Bombyx mori: one gene and its partners. The protein of the gene in region 4 binds, or shares a complex with, the protein of the main gene of each other region. Links are inferred from orthologs where the notes say so. Each region holds a gene or a part of one and is shown on either strand. Other genes may lie near its edges.

Evidence for each region.
Region 1: histone acetyltransferase Tip60 (region 4) and inhibitor of growth protein 3 share a complex: the UniProt entries of both Homo sapiens proteins name them as parts of the SWR1-like complex. The link is inferred for Bombyx mori from reciprocal best matches to the Homo sapiens genes KAT5 and ING3.
Region 2: histone acetyltransferase Tip60 (region 4) and bromodomain-containing protein 8 share a complex: the UniProt entries of both Homo sapiens proteins name them as parts of the SWR1-like complex. The link is inferred for Bombyx mori from reciprocal best matches to the Homo sapiens genes KAT5 and BRD8.
Region 3: histone acetyltransferase Tip60 (region 4) and vacuolar protein sorting-associated protein 72 homolog share a complex: the UniProt entries of both Homo sapiens proteins name them as parts of the nuA4 histone acetyltransferase complex. The link is inferred for Bombyx mori from reciprocal best matches to the Homo sapiens genes KAT5 and VPS72.

What each region holds. Positions count from the first base shown.
Region 1 is NC_085109.1:7,261,543-7,265,869, forward strand, and holds the start of inhibitor of growth protein 3, read right to left. Parts: upstream 2,851-4,327; 5' UTR 2,669-2,850; coding exon 2,641-2,668; intron 2,398-2,640; coding exon 2,326-2,397; intron 2,237-2,325; coding exon 2,039-2,236; intron 1,819-2,038; coding exon 1,677-1,818; intron 1,340-1,676; coding exon 1,237-1,339; intron 1,081-1,236; coding exon 991-1,080; intron 589-990; coding exon 486-588; intron 1-485. UniProt on the Homo sapiens protein: Component of the NuA4 histone acetyltransferase (HAT) complex which is involved in transcriptional activation of select genes principally by acetylation of nucleosomal histones H4 and H2A.
Region 2 is NC_085117.1:1,939,517-1,943,591, forward strand, and holds the start of bromodomain-containing protein 8, read right to left. Parts: upstream 2,808-4,075; 5' UTR 2,456-2,807; coding exon 2,271-2,455; intron 995-2,270; coding exon 814-994; intron 8-813; coding exon 1-7. Other genes in the region: uncharacterized protein LOC101740762, read right to left, coding at 4,004-4,075. UniProt on the Homo sapiens protein: May act as a coactivator during transcriptional activation by hormone-activated nuclear receptors (NR). Isoform 2 stimulates transcriptional activation by AR/DHTR, ESR1/NR3A1, RXRA/NR2B1 and THRB/ERBA2.
Region 3 is NC_085112.1:12,270,614-12,274,889, reverse strand, and holds the start of vacuolar protein sorting-associated protein 72 homolog, read right to left. Parts: upstream 2,840-4,276; 5' UTR 2,684-2,839; coding exon 2,553-2,683; intron 1,603-2,552; coding exon 1,479-1,602; intron 1,145-1,478; coding exon 1,009-1,144; intron 667-1,008; coding exon 490-666; intron 1-489. UniProt on the Homo sapiens protein: Deposition-and-exchange histone chaperone specific for H2AZ1, specifically chaperones H2AZ1 and deposits it into nucleosomes.
Region 4 is NC_085124.1:9,231,969-9,235,298, reverse strand, and holds the end of histone acetyltransferase Tip60, read right to left. Parts: intron 1,804-3,330; coding exon 1,695-1,803; intron 984-1,694; coding exon 880-983; intron 570-879; coding exon 563-569; 3' UTR 511-562; downstream 1-510. UniProt on the Homo sapiens protein: Catalytic subunit of the NuA4 histone acetyltransferase complex, a multiprotein complex involved in transcriptional activation of select genes principally by acetylation of nucleosomal histones H2A and H4.

The DNA of each region.
Region 1 (4,327 bases), on a different chromosome or scaffold from region 4:
TTGACTCAGTGGCAGAATAAACAACGCCCCTGTTAGCAGAGCCGAGATATGTAGGTTCGATTCCCAAGTCGAATTTGTGGAAAATATTGGTACGACAAACTAGTTTGCCTGTCTTTAATAGCCAGACATGTTTAAACATATTAAGTATGCATGTGCATCAGTCTTTGTTTCCCATAATTCAGAAAGTCCTAGTTTGGGACTAGATGACACTTTGTCATTATTTACCAATTATCTGTTATTTATTTTTATTTTGAAGTGAATTTGATAGAGAGATTTACTGCTCCCCAAACGTAATTCATATTGAAAATTTATCAATTCGCGCTTGCCTAGATTTTCTGGTCTATTATAATTGGTATAGTGGACAGATAACCAATTGTAGACAAACTTTTCACCCAGGGAAATTCTGAAAAAAGCTTATAACTAGCTTTTCTAGCGTTTGAGCAACTGAGAATGATCAATTAATTTATTTTAAATATTTTTTTTACCATGATCGTGATGATGAGTTTGTAAAGCATGATGAGCCAGCTCTCCACCTGCAACTGCTTCATAGGATGCTTTCAATGATGCTGTACGACGACCATGCTGCATCTGTACATTAAGAGAATTAATGTTAACATAATTCGGAAATAAAGTGATGGTTTTATCAAAAAAATATTATATTAAATGATACATTATATCTATTTGTTAAATGCAGAAAGATTCTGAAGCTGAAATGAGCATAAACTACTGCCTTCACATGAAAACTCTATTAATTCGTATAAATACTTTTCATTTTAATTATTATTCAGAGTATTTGTCAGTCTATAAGTAATTAGCTGGAATAGTAGTTAATTTATTTTATTGACCAAAAAGTGTAGATTTAAGACTGTGTATAATGTGTTATCCCGTTTTGAGGTCAGGAAAAAGTGATATCAGTTAGGCTGAACCTGTTATTTTTATACAACCAAAAACATGTTTTTTATTAATCATGTATATTAATGTTTAATTTACTTGTTGTGTAGCAGCAATAGCTTGGCTTGCTGCTGCAGCTATGGTACTGCCAGCATGTCCCAAAGAGTAAGATTCACGACCAAGTGCAGCCTGAAAGTATTTGAACAGAAATTATAAGTTTTACACTGTACTTTGAAATAAACAACTTATTTGCAAGTTAAGTTGTAAATTCTGAAAATTGTTTCTTAGTAATTGTTTTTTTTATTACGACTTTTTTTTGAGTTTGCCTAAAATCTCCTAACAAACCTGTATGGCGGAGTCAGTGCGCGACATATTGCTTGAGGAATGTCCACGTTGGGAATCACGATTTCCCCAACTATCTCGTCGCTTTTCTGGCCTTATGCGATACCTGAACAATTTCCAAGAATTATCTTATTTTATTAATGTTTCATTTTTTTTTCCAAGACAGATCAAAGGTGGGCATGCAGCAGCATATAGAGCCTACCTGATGGTATATAGTCACTGTAACTCAGACATCAGCAATGCCAGGCATAGTCAAGCTACTGATTACTTACTGTTCCAGTAGGAAACAAGATGCGATTCAAACTACAATGAATTGTAGTTTAATACTAACTCTTGAGAGCAAATTATTGTTTAAAGATAGTATCTATCCAACTATTTAGTCAAAACATGATTGAGGATATTTTTCATTACACAATTTTAATTTGACATTTGTGTTGAGTTACCTATTTTCCTTGTAATGACTGCTGTTTGATGTGCTAGTGTGATTAGTATTAACATCCAATTCAAGTGACCTCTTCTCAAGCAATTCTGTTATCCCTTTGTTGTCTGCTTCAAGCTCACACTTGAATTTATGCAGCTCTGTATCTGTTTTTAAGCATGTTTAACTTATTATTTGAATATTTCGAATATATAAATTGTTTAATTATACATCATACCATGTTTTCATAGTGGTACACAATTATGTATGCAAACCGGAGTGTTAATTAATTTTAATTATGGAATCACTCATTTAACTGAATTTACTTAAAAGTTGCAATATATTTCATACATTATTTTGTGTACAGGATTTTTTAGTGATACGTACCTAATCGTCGAAGATACCTATCAACCAAATCATACATTTGGTTGGCAAGTGTGGTCTTTTCGTCAGCCTCTTCTAAAGTTTTGGCATAGCCCCGCTTAATATCCGAAAACTCAGTATTGGCTTGATCGGTATTTATTTCACCACGACGACATCCACCAAAAAGAGTACGGACTCTTTTCTCAAGGGTGTCCATGTTATCTATTAATGACCAAAATATAGTAAAAGTCTGGTATAATAGTGTAATTGTATTGTATGTATGAATGTAATTTTATGGCAAGATAGCTTACTTTGGACAGACAAATCCATTTCTCTCATTTCAGTAAATCTGTCTCGCAGTTCTTGCGGTAGATGTTCTATCACTGCAATTAAATCTCAAATTTTATTCGGTTTATGCTTTCACATAAACTTTAAAATTAAATCAAGCTGTTATTATTATTTGTATTACTTAATTTACTAATTCAATATTCTGCGTCAACGATGTTGTTTAACAATTCAAATAGTGGTATTTTTAAATTTTGCGCTTTATTTATTAAGGACGCTACAGTGCTACCAACTGTCTTAATGGATTTTTAGTTACGTCACTGGTCTAACAAATAACTTACTTTCCAAATAATCTTCAAGATACAGCATTTTGGTGAGTGTTTTGTGCTTCAAGTTTGTTAAATTACTGTTGAAATGCTAACTTTGAACCTAAAACTCAAATAAATTAGTCAATAGATACTACGTTGATGTATACTTAAACGTCACACTTCATAAAGCTGGAAAGCTTGATTGATTTTACAAAATGGTGGGTAAGTAGTGCTGTGACAAAAAGAGTGTTAACATCGGTCACAAAATCGATTAAAATACCAGCTAACTAAGAAATATTACTTTTGATTTATTTCTTAGATTGAACTTAAACTTTAAAATTATGTGGTAAATAGCTGTTTGTATATATTGTAAGTATATAGTCCAAGTGGTCCAAGGTAAGTTAATTACTAACCTTTGATTCTAATTAATACCATAGGCATAGTACTAATAATACTATACAAAGTATAAGTACTAGTTCGTGTATTTGTATCGTGTATTTTGAAAAAACATTTCCATAGATCGCATATGTAGACAAATTAGAAATTTCAATTTGACACAATTTCATTCAAAAGACACACTTCGTGTATTTGACGATTTCGACAATCGACTTAAAATAGTCGCGATTAAAATATGCGAATTCACAACATCAATAGGTAGGTACCTAATATGTGCGCTCATTGGTGTGTAACCAAGTACCGTACATAACTGGCTACAAGGAGAGAAGCGCGGGAAACTTGATTGTAGACGTACGCGTTTTTCGACTTATAAATTATTTTATTTTATTTTTTGGATTGGATCAGTAGTTTAGTGTAGTTTATATAGTAATATTTGTTTTGTTTAAGTTTTATTTATTTAAAAGTGAATTAGGACTGTTATTGGTAAGTGTTTTTTTTTCCTAACTTTTGCTCCTTATGGAGCCGCCTGATGACCCTGGGGGCGGAGAAGTCCCTGGGGTCGGTTACAATGTAACAATATCAAATGAATCTGGAATGGAAACCGATGGATCCGTTAAATCTAACAGTGGTGCTCGAAAACGTAGAGCCACTGTCAATAAGCATTGCTCTAAATGCCATAAAAAAAGACGAAATCGGAAACAAAATCAGGGCAAAGAAATAAAACCAAACGAATGTGATTGCATACCTTTGTTTAATAGTAACACTAACACCCAAAGTATTACTCCTCCCCAATTCACTGACTCGCAACTGAATTCCAATCAGTCCAATCAGTACAAAAAACCAGAATCGGTAGCCAGATTAACTTATCAGGTAAGTGATGCAGCACCATATGTTGTTCATGTGCAAAAAATACAGCAAGCTCCTAACGATGATGTAACAGTTCACCCTATCGCTTTTGGTCGTTTTTTAAAAAGGAATTCTATCCACAACATCGTTAACGGAAGCTTAAAAAGAATTGGCCGTAATAGACTGTCTCTGTCTTTCAATAATTACCAGGACGCAAATTCTTTCTTAAACAGCCCTGCTTTGCAATCCGCCGAGTATAAGGTTTTTATCCCAACGTTTACTGTGACCCGTATGGGTGTCGTAAGAGGCATACCTGCTGAGTGGTCAGATGAAGAAGTTATGGAAAATATTAATTTACCTGTTGGATGCGGTCCGATTTTAAAAGTAAGAAGAATGAGACGGCGTATCATTACTAGTAATGGCACTGAATTTAAGGCTACTGAAACTGTGGTTCTCACCTTTGATGGGCAAATTCTAC
Region 2 (4,075 bases), on a different chromosome or scaffold from region 4:
ATTCATCCTGTGGTACAAAGGTAAAGAAAGATATATTACTAGCTTATATTTATGAGTCAAAGTGAAGTCGTCGTGGCCTAAAGGATAAGAGGTCCGGTGCATTCGTATGTAGCGATGCACTGGTGTGTAAAAATAAGACTTTGACTTAAAACTCTCATTACTAGGCTATAAAACCTTTTAAAAGTTGATGTTGATGTTGACACCGAACTGTCACTAAATGGTCAGATATTAGCCAATACTTAACAACTCTGACAGCACTTAAAGTTTTATAAAAAGCTTGAGATTTATAAAAAAAAAAAAGTGCGTGCGTACAAAGTACACATGTCAGAAGTGAAACTTTTTTGGCGAACTAATTTATAAGTCTTACTTATATTTATGCAAATCTAAAACTTTAGATTTCCAAGACTTAGAAGAAGGGAAAAAGGAAGATATGTTCCCGCCAAAAGTCTGTCAAATGTCAATCTCAAACCTCAGTGTTGACATTCACATTATGCTTAGATTTCTAAATTGTAGATGACTAATATTTTGCCAATTGAATTGACTAATTTAATTTCATGCTATGTTCCAAATTCTTTTCATTTCATTTCAATTCCTATTAACATTTTTCACAAAAAAATAAAATATTAGGCTGTATGATATGATACATTTGCCTTTCCAGTTGGAAAAATACAACAACTACTACTACTGACATTTGACAAGTACTTAATTTTAATAGTAGTTTGATGTCCTTCCGTTGCATACCTGCGTGACGTTCTGTAAAAATTTTACCCTCATAAAGAAGAAAGAAAGAAGTTTCACTTGAAAATTAAATACCTTCATTACTTCATGTTGTTGACTCATTTCAGCAATATTCTTCTGGATCTCGGCTATCCGATCTTGGGTTAAACGTTTCAATATACTCTCCTGTGGAGTTTCCACGCCACCGTCAGAGTTTCTCTTTTTTCGTTTCGGCGTTTCCACATGTTCTAATAGCGTTCCATATTGTGCAGCACAGCTGATGGATGGAAATGTGTTAATGACATACGGATAACGGAGCCCACAGTTCTTGTAGATCTAAATCTCATTATCATTCAGCTATCCAATGCTTCAGAGGAAGACATGACATCTACGCAGTTTGATATGGATTGAATAAGCTCATAAACAATATAACTATTTAAAATAATAGAATGAATATAATTAATTAGAGCTTTAGTGTCTTTCAAATAAGTTATTTGTAATTTTGTTAATTTTTTTATGAATAGGATTAATTTACTGGGGATTTAAGGAGCAATCTGCAAAATTTAAATTTTTTCATAGATTTTAAATAAAGAAGGTACATACTTAGTTAGACTCTTTTTATATGCCATTATATCAGAACTCTTTCCAAAGTGTAATTACATTAAATGATTTTATTTTAAAGCTAGTGCTATTTTATTATTTATTTTATTTATTTATTTATGTACACACAGAAAACAAGACACAGTACAGAGTAATAGGAAAATTATGTACAAAGGCACTACTTATTTCTTTGAGAAATCTCTTCCAGCAGACCTGCGAGAGGATAATGAGAATAATAATAAAATGTGATAAGTGTGTGTAGAACAAACTTATTGCTATATATGCTACTTATTTTAGTTTATTTGATAATATATTTTTATAAATTATTTATAATATTGAATATTCAATTGGCTTTTGACAATGATCTCATTTTATTTTGTTTAACTCGGTGTTATTGTTTTGTCAAAATGTTGTATTAACATTTCTTTTGAACATTTAATTATTGGGGCCACCCGCCATATAATATAAGAGCTGTGTTTAACCAATCCTAATGTTGTCAAAGTTATAGAGGGTGTCTTTTAGCGAGTGGAAAGACTTAAAGAGCGGACAGTTCACGTGGTATCGACATGTTATGCGTAGAGAGGAGATGCATGAGACTAGGAGATTTATGGAAATTGTAGTGCAAGGTAGAGGGGGAAAACTTGACCAAAGAAGACATGGATGGAGTGTGTGAATGACGATATGAGAGAGAGAGGAGTGTGTGTTGACCTATTATAGCCTACTAAATACTATAATAGCTCTACTGAATATAATTTTAAGTTTTATCGAGTTCAAATAACGTGGAAAGCGTGGTGGAATTTTCATTGGTGAATAATGCAAAAATGGTTTGAAAATAAAAAATAAATGTGTAAAAACGAATGTGTTTCTCATCAACTCAGCCACCACTTCACTATCGCAAGCTATTTCAAACCTGTATCAATAATTATATAGTAGATATAAAAGAAAAACAAAACCTTTTTTGGGAATACCAGTCCGGAGGCCTGTTTGGCTCGCCAAGGGTCTTTAGAGCGCGGGAAACCGACATCCAGTTCTGATCCCCGCTTCTGACCACGGCGGAGGCCAGGCATAGCTGTTCACGTATATTCCAAGTGTCCAGAGGAACTCTTTTGAGCTGAAGACGCTCTTGTATCGAGCTCATTTTGAGGTTATGTTTTGGAAATGGAGTTTCGAGATTACATAACTATTTATAGTTGTTTAATTGTCCATGTAATGTGTATTTACTGTTTTGAAAGTATATTATTTTTATTTTATTATTTAACTGTTTAGAACACAATTAATAAGTGTTTATTCTATGATACAAACGTCAAACATGATACAAAACAAATATATTTTTTTTAAAGTATTTAATGACCTGGTTATCAAGACCTTCGGGTCAAGTCTTATTTTAATTGTAATGAAAACTTTTTTATATGTAAAATTATAATATTTTATTTCATATTATAATTTTACATATAAATGAAGTTGATTAATATAAAACATGGCATGAAATGAAATCAAATGAAATGAAAACGAAATGGAATGAAAAAGAAATCAATTAAGATGAGATGATATAGGAAGAAAATATATAATCTCATTAAAATGGTTGTCATTTCATTGTAGACTTTTTCAGTGAAATTTTTGGAGGATCCCGAGAAGTTACGTTCAGCGGCTTGTTAGTTGGCGTGTTCAATTATTATTATTTCTTTTATTTATTGCTTAGATGGGGGAATGAGCTCACAGCTCACCTGGCGTTAAGTGGTTACTGGAGCCCATACAAGGTAAATGCGCCACCCACCTTGAGATATAGGTTCTAAGGTCTCAGTATAGTTATCTCGAATATATTAAGTGTATAAATCTATGATAGTTAGACTCTAATACACTTTTTAAATAAGATAGATCTATGACATATTTTTTGAAGTCGTCGTGGCCTAACGGATATGACGTCCGGTGCATTCGTGTTGAGCAATGCACCGGTGTTCGAATCCCGCAGGCGGGTACCAATTTTTCTAATGAAATACGTACTCAACAAATGTTCACGATTGATTTCCACGGTGAAGGAATAACATCGTGTAATAAAAATGAAACCCGCAAAATTATAATCTGTGTAATTACTGGTGGTAGGACCTCTTGTGAGTCCGCGCGGGTAGGCACCACCACCCTGCCTATTTCTGCCGTGAAGTAGTAATGCGTTTCGGTTTGAAGGGTGGGGTAGCCGTTGTAACTATACTTGAGACCTTAGAACTTATATCTCAAGGTGGGTGGCGCATTTACGTTGTGGATGTCTATGGGCTCCAGTAACCACTTGATACCAGGTGGGCTGTGAGCTCGTCCACCCATCTAAGATATAAAAAAATAAAAAAATATTTCCACTATTTTCCACAATCCACTGAGTTGTCTATGTCGTGGGGCGTTAGGGATGATAATCGCGTGCCAAGTGAGCCTTAGAATCGCCTACCGATTCGACACAATTAAAAATCTAATCTTTTAAAGTCCTTATAGGTTATTATTCCCAGTATGCGTTTAGGGTCATGTTTGTCATTTAGGCCTGAAACGAGTCACACGAAATTAATTATCAGCATTCAAACGACTTTTTAATTATTTTTAAGGAATTCCGGAAAATAAAATAATATCTCACATTAATTTCTCTCAAATTTTAGATACATATATTTTGTGTGTAACTTGAAACTTAGTTTTTCTTTAGTTAATTTTATGAGCTATGTCCCGCCGAGTTTCCCCTCTGCCTCTCGTAAATAAACTTCAACACGGTGTCAATGTCATC
Region 3 (4,276 bases), on a different chromosome or scaffold from region 4:
TAGAAAAAAGAAAAAGACGCCAGCTGAGTTTCTTGCCAGTTCCTCTCAGGACGGAGGCTAGTTTTTGTTAATTGGTGGTAGTTCTTTTTGACGTTCAACAAGTATGTACTTTCATTTATGTTGAATAAAAAATTTTTTTTTTGGTTTTTGTTAATAGTATAAGTCCCTTTATGGGCAATTTTATCAAAATTTTAAAAATATCCTGATTTATGTTCCAAAGTATGAGACAGCTCACAAAACAGAACAAGTTTAGAGAATTCCTGAAGTTGTACTTTAACTTTGCACGAAAATTTTAATTCACGTAATTCTTGCTGGTCATCATGTGGGCATCTTGTGATGCCTACACAACCCTCTGCTTATTCCGGTTTGAAAAACGATACAGCCGTTATAAAATAAAATTGAGATTAAGACCTCGTATTTCAAGGTACTGTTAATTACTATGTCTTGAAGCTCTATCACCCATTCATACAATTAGAAATATATATTCACCTAAACTCTTTAAGTTCTCTTTCTCTGTCTCGACTGCTTCTTCCAACAGCTCTTCCTGGGTCGGCATCTTCTCTTCTACTTTCTTCGGTTTCTTCTTTTTCAGCTCTGACCTGATTTTTATCCTTTGTATTGTCTCGGCAGATTTCATAGCTGTACTTTGTCTTATAGACTTCCGTTCTTCAGTTAAAAAATAGGACTACATTTATTTACATATTATATTATATATACATTTTAGTTGTGAATTCTTTACAGTTCAAACTATTTACATTTTTACTATTTATTCATTTACTATTTTCTTGCAATTGATTCGATTTCAGTTTCTTAGCCAGGTTCATAAAGACTTAAGATATTTATTTTGTATGGTGAGGTTTGAGAGATTTAGCTATGAATCAAATTTCCTTTCTCATACAACACTACTCTTACTACAAAACTTACTGTTACTTAAGCAAAACTTATTGTTTTATTTATTTATAATGACACCAAATAAAGTATATCATTAAAAGAAAAGTTTAAAATTACCTATTGAGGTATCAACAATTTTGTCCACGGCACTTTTGTTTTGTTTTTCAACTTTGTCTTCTATAGATTTATCATCTTTGGATTTTTTGATGACTGTCTTTTTTGATTTTTCATTTAATTTCTTCTTATTGGGGTCCTGAAATATCATTATTGCATTGAGATTTTTATTTGAAATAATGTCTGGGCAGTTCATATTTATAAATATATCTACGCTATTCTATTTCAATGTTTTACAATTTCTGCCTATTTCATACAAGTGTAATATTAGTTTCAATTATAAGATGTGTAGTGCAAAAGGTTACTCAGTTTTATTATTATGACATACAAAACGATTATTGAAAGAATAAACCAAACATACCTGATAATGCTAATCAATAATCATTACAAAATAATATAGGGGACATATCCTGGATGGTGCCTACCACTGAGGATAACTCTATAAAACTCATTGAAGAATATTTTAATTATACCTTATAAGCTTTAGTGCCAACTTTTCTTTTAGCTTTTTCTTCAACTTCCTGGTCAGACACTGGTTCATCATTCTCATCAATATCAAAATCTGAATCAACTTCATCATCAACTTCCTTTTCTTGTCTAAAATGTTAAAAATTTCAAAGTTAACCACTGAACATTTTAATGCAAGGGTCAAGTAAATTCATTAACTATTTTATTAGGCTATAATATATACTTTATACTATATATTAACAACTTTTTCCCTACCTATTCACATGTTCTACTTTTCTTCTATTTTTATTATTCTATTCACATCTGCCTAAGAACTATGCAAATGGATGAATTTGATTCAAGCCCTACTACACTCCACCAGAGGGTAATAGGAAAGAAGAAAGAAAAAATTCACTTGTAAGTTAAGAGTCTATTCCAGCTTCTCGCAGACTAGTAGATAAGCTCACAGGCTCAACCTTAAAGAATTTACTAACACTAACTCTGGCAAGAGTAATACTTTGCAGATTCTACCACCAGATTGGAATCGCAAACCACTAAGAATATCCAAAATATATCAAATATTTATTTGGTGCCAGTAAATTTGCTTGTTTCCGTAGCTTATTTTTTCTCTATAGGATTAACTTTGTTAATGTAACTCTGCCATTATTATTTTAACATTTTTTTATGATTTAATCATAGTTTTATAGGATATTATGGATCAAAAAAATTGAACAAATGTTTATATACAATATGTTAGACGGAGGCAATGAGACAGCAGCTAACATTTTGCTGGAATGTGCTGAATTTGCAGACTACTTGACAAAATATCTTACGACCTTATGATTAACAACAAGAAGTGATTGATTGCCTTACTGGAAAAGCATGATTCTCAGAAGTGAGAGTTTCCGCTATATGTCGAAGCCCTTTGTCTTGTACTTTCAGAGACTAGCTAGATAGCAGCGGAAAAAATCTAAGTAACTCATCAGCCCACATTTCTACTCGCAAGTACCTTTCAGGGAGTGTCGTTTAGGCTCGGTTCTCCGAAACCAAAAGCTTAATAGATTCAACGTATATTCTATGAATACTATGATATTACATACTGATATTCTACGTCCTCTTCAACATCATTAAACCCTCCGTATGTTGTTTTGTAAAAATCATCCTCTTCCTCCTCGTCAAGGAGTTTAGCCATACGATTTCCAGCGTTTGATCTTCGTGCCCGTTGAGCCATTTTGTAAAACAGCTCGAATTTTGTTAATATAGAATTTTAAGGAATCAGTTTCAGTCAAGAAGTTCATAAATGTTGTTAATAAAAACAAAATTTTGTTTGTTACTATTAAAAATCAAAATTTGACATTCACAGTATGTTTACTCGATTTCTCTGATAGTATTGTTAAAGGGAACAACAATCATACAGCCAAACTTATAAAAAGACAGTGACAAATTTAGATTTAACTGTGGTGGATTGAAGATGTATCTACAGCACTGAAGTCTATGATCTACAGCCACTGTCAGTCTTATATACATTAGTAGGTACACATACCTATTTAAATAGTATATGGTAGATATATAGATACAAAGCCCGCTAAAACTAACACGTAGAATTATTATTTTATTATTTTAACCGCAAATGTTGTAGGTAACATAATTAATTAGACTTAAATACAAGCTACGTAGTACGTAATCGCGTTTTTTAATTATGCATCAGCATGTACGACAGGTCCTCAAAAATCTTTAAAGATATTTTACCAATTTGTATTTGCTTTTTATTGAGTTTGTATTGAAACAATACACACAAAAAAAATTTTTTTTCGTAGCCTTTCTCATAATCGTAGGAAATAATATGTATTTGCCTAAGAAGTTCCTGTTCGTGAGAACTGGCCATTTGAAATGCAATTTTTGTATGACTGGCAATAAATACTAATTTAAATAAATAGATAATATTTTGAAATTCAGTCAATTGTTTATTCCCTAATGTTTTATTTTTACTATTTGTATCTTTTCAATAATGTAGATACCGTAAAAATATGAGTAATTATGGAATAAAAGATCCATCGCGGTGGCACTGCCGCCCAAACGGCTCACAACATTTAAAACTGAATACACAACTCGTTATTGGTTTAAACGAGTCAGCCATCGAAATTTTGATCTAAAAAAAATATATTCATCTCTCTCTCCCTCTCGTCATTACCCGAAAACTAAAATCAATAACGACAAAGTAGACAAAGGCAATAGTGGAAGCTGACGTGAAGCGTCTTTCAACGTTGTAGCCCAAGAGCCCGTGGACTCTACCTGTATGTATTTGACCAGACCTGAATTTTCGTACATTGAGACCCCTATACCTACCATGCATGAGGTGGGGACTCACTAAGCTCAAAGTGGTCGACGCGCCGAGCGCTCAGGTAGGACAGGTACCGATTTTGACGGATTTTAAATCCATTTGACCACGTCTACCGTTTTGAAATTTTGAAAATATATGATTATTATTATCGGAAAATAAGAATGGCATACCATTACCGCGCATTTTACTTTGTGGCAGACCACTTTGAAAATGCTAAAAAAATAAAATTTTAAAAGTAATTGACCAGATCTGCCATTGATATAATAATATGTTGTTTATTGTAGTCTTAAAAACTTATATTGATCACGGCAGACCTCTACATTGCGTACACACATCAACATATAATAAAATCTTAGCTACTACCCGGCCAGATGTATATTATGTTTTCCGTTCACTGTTTTAGAGGAATATAATTTACTTGCGATTTACTTTAGCAATGTATTTACCGAAATTAATATTTTTTTATATTCTATATACTAAAAA
Region 4 (3,330 bases):
AAAAAAACCTACATTATTGTTCGTTTTATTTGTTTAAAACAACATGCCTCTAAGGGTTAAATAAAAGCAATTAAGATAAGGAACAAAAAAAAAAAACCGATCATACAGATTTATTTCAGTTGAGAGATAGTCTGAATTCCACCTACCGGACTGTTGAACACATGTAACGCCATATCACATGTGACGTCATATCTTTCGATAGTGCTCTCTCTGTCTAGCATTCAATTAAAAAGCTTACAACCACTACTATACTACTAAACATCATTTCCTTAGTTACAAGCTGGATTTATACGAAACATTTATAAAAATCAGTCATCTAGCCTATTACTAAAACAAAAAACAAAAAAAAATTAACTCATAATGAACTACGAATCTACACAAGACAAAGTGAAACAAAAAAAAAAATTCGTGCAAACATGTTAAGATGTGTCATGAGAGTCCCAAGCAATGTTAGTATCGAGCCATTAAAAAAACAATATTATTATTAGTTAGATACAAAATGAACGGGTTGCATACGTGTCGAAGCTTGAGTTAGATAGCTCTCGTCTCCATTATTATCACTTCAAACACTGTGACAAAAAGAAAAAAATAAACATCAGAATATATAGTCAAAAAGGAATGGCGAATAATAAATCCATAATTGATACATAATTTACAAAGATTATCAAAAATTATGCAATCATCGATTTAAATGAAAATATTAAAATATAATTGGAGGATATAAAAATATAAAATATAACTGTGTGTGTTAAATAAAATAATAAAGAATATATAAGTAGATAATTCAAATGATAAACAATAACACACATTCACAGATTTATTTCTACGATCCGAAATTACTAAGGTTGGTTATATTATTTTTTATTTAAATCAACTTACCATTTCGCCCGTTTAGACCAATCTTTTGGAGTCCAGTGTAAACATTTTGGATCGATTCTTAGCATACGTTTTTCCATTGCTTTCTCGTGTTGCTGAAGAGTTTCCTAATTATTGATAAGAAATATCAGATCATGGGAGTACTTTTCTTTTTACACTTAAATGGAGAAAACGTTGCTTTCGGAAATATAAAGAAAAATATATTTTTTCCCATTATGTGTATACATATTTATATTTTTTAAATAACTAATCTATATCCGATATTAAGTTGAGTTATAATAACGATAAAATTAACGTGATTTTTAAACTATTGCATAGCTTTTATCGCGGGCTTTGAGCGCGGCGACCGAATCAAGAAATTTCGTAACGAAAATAAAACCTGACACTCCCCACTCCGCCTGCCATGTAGCTCGCGTTCAACACATTCACGTTGCGCTTGTGCAGTATTTGTGAATAAGCGCGCGGCGTGACGTCGCACTGGATGCGCATCATTAAAAGTCTGCCCATCTCTCTCTCGCGCGGTTTAGCTTATGAGTGTGAAGGGGACAATTAATGTTTTGCTTTTGTTAATGTTTATAAATATAGCGTGTTCTTATTTTATTATTGTTTTAATATTAAATTATTATTGTCTAATTATAACTGCATAAGTTGATAAAAAATGCTATGCAATAGCTTTACCGCGGCAGTCCCCGAGTGCCACACGTGTTTTTATTATTATTAAATAAACTACTCGATTCTTCATTAAGTTGAAATCAAATTTTAACGTTGTTTCCATTTAAGTGAGTCATAAATAATTATCAATTAACGGTATAGATAACCTGGTTGACCGAGATAATGTACTGTCCCTTGTAGTAGTTGATGAGGTTCAAATTCTGCAATGTACTGATCACGTCCTCCTTCTTAATGCTAGTCAGTTCGCAAATTTCACTAAAACAAACATTTTATGTAAGACGCAAATAAAATTTCTCTTGTGGTTTAATTTTCAAGACGTCGTGGCCTAAATGATAAGACGTCCGATGATGCATACGTATCTAGTGATGCAACGGTGTTCCAATCCCGCAGGCGGGTACCAATTCTTCTAATGAAATACGTGCTTAACAAATGTTCACGCGATTGACTTCCATGGTGAAGGAATAACATCGTATAATAAAAACAAACCCGCAAAATTATAATTTGCGTAATTACTGGTGGTAGGACTTCTTGTGAGTCTGCACGGGTAGGTACTACCACCCTGCCTATTTCTGCCGTGAAGCAGTAATGCGTTTAGGTTTGAGGGATGGGGCAGTTGTTGTAACTATATTGAGACCTTAGAACTCATATCTCAAGGTGGGTGACGGCGTTTACGTTGTAGATGTAGGGTTCCGCTAACCACTTAAAATCAGGTTGGCAGTGAGCTCGTCCACCCATCTAAGCAATAAAAAAACTGTTCTATTTATATATTATACCGACGGGTGAAAGGCTATTTGGTTTAAGCGACATTTCGCTTAATACGCGACATACGCGTTTCATTTTGGTATTACCATCAACAGTTAAATGTTTTTAACTGTGAAACAATACAATCACGCCATCATCGCCGAAACAATAAAAAAGCGGCACAAACACATTACATATAAACTACTAGCTGTACCCGTCCGCTTCGCTGGGAATTTAAAATTAACATTATTATTTCTCACCCCCACAAAGATTCTCATCATTAACGCTGCCGCAACTGGTGTAAGGAGTCGAACATATTGGATTTCTCTTGGCAAATTATTACACAAAAGTACGGGCACCATTTTATTAGCAGAGCGGAAGGGAAGTGAAGTGACATAGATTCATTTTGTAATAACACATTATAGACTAACTAAACTAAATTATAGACTAACATATATAGCCACAGAGTAGTGCACAAATCCTAAATTATACTCAACACACCCCCTCAATTTATAGAAGTTTACAACTGCTTAAATTGTTCAAACAAAATATAAGTTTAATGAATTACAAATTTTGTTAACTGTCCACTCTGTGCATTACTAACACTATTTATCATAAATACCCTTTTTTTCTTTTTCTTTCAATATTAGTTACATTAAAATATTTACTAAATTAACAGTTATCTAGTTAATTCTCTTAAGATAATAATAATGCTAAACAATTAAATATGTATAACATATGCATAGCTTTTCTAATACAATATTTAAACTAAATTCAACTTGCTACAAAAATAATTATGTTTTTGAATAGTTAAAGATTTTGTAAATATATCAGAGATATTTTCATTTGTAGGCACATATGAGATTGACACTATTTTCTTATAAATTAAATCTTTAATGTAGTGATATTTTATTTCAATATGTATAGAAGCTTTAGTATTCATCTGATTTTGTATCAATTTTATTGTACTCTGATTGTCAATCAATAAATGAGCTGAAATGATACTAGTACTAAATATGTCAGAAAGTATTCCTTTGATGT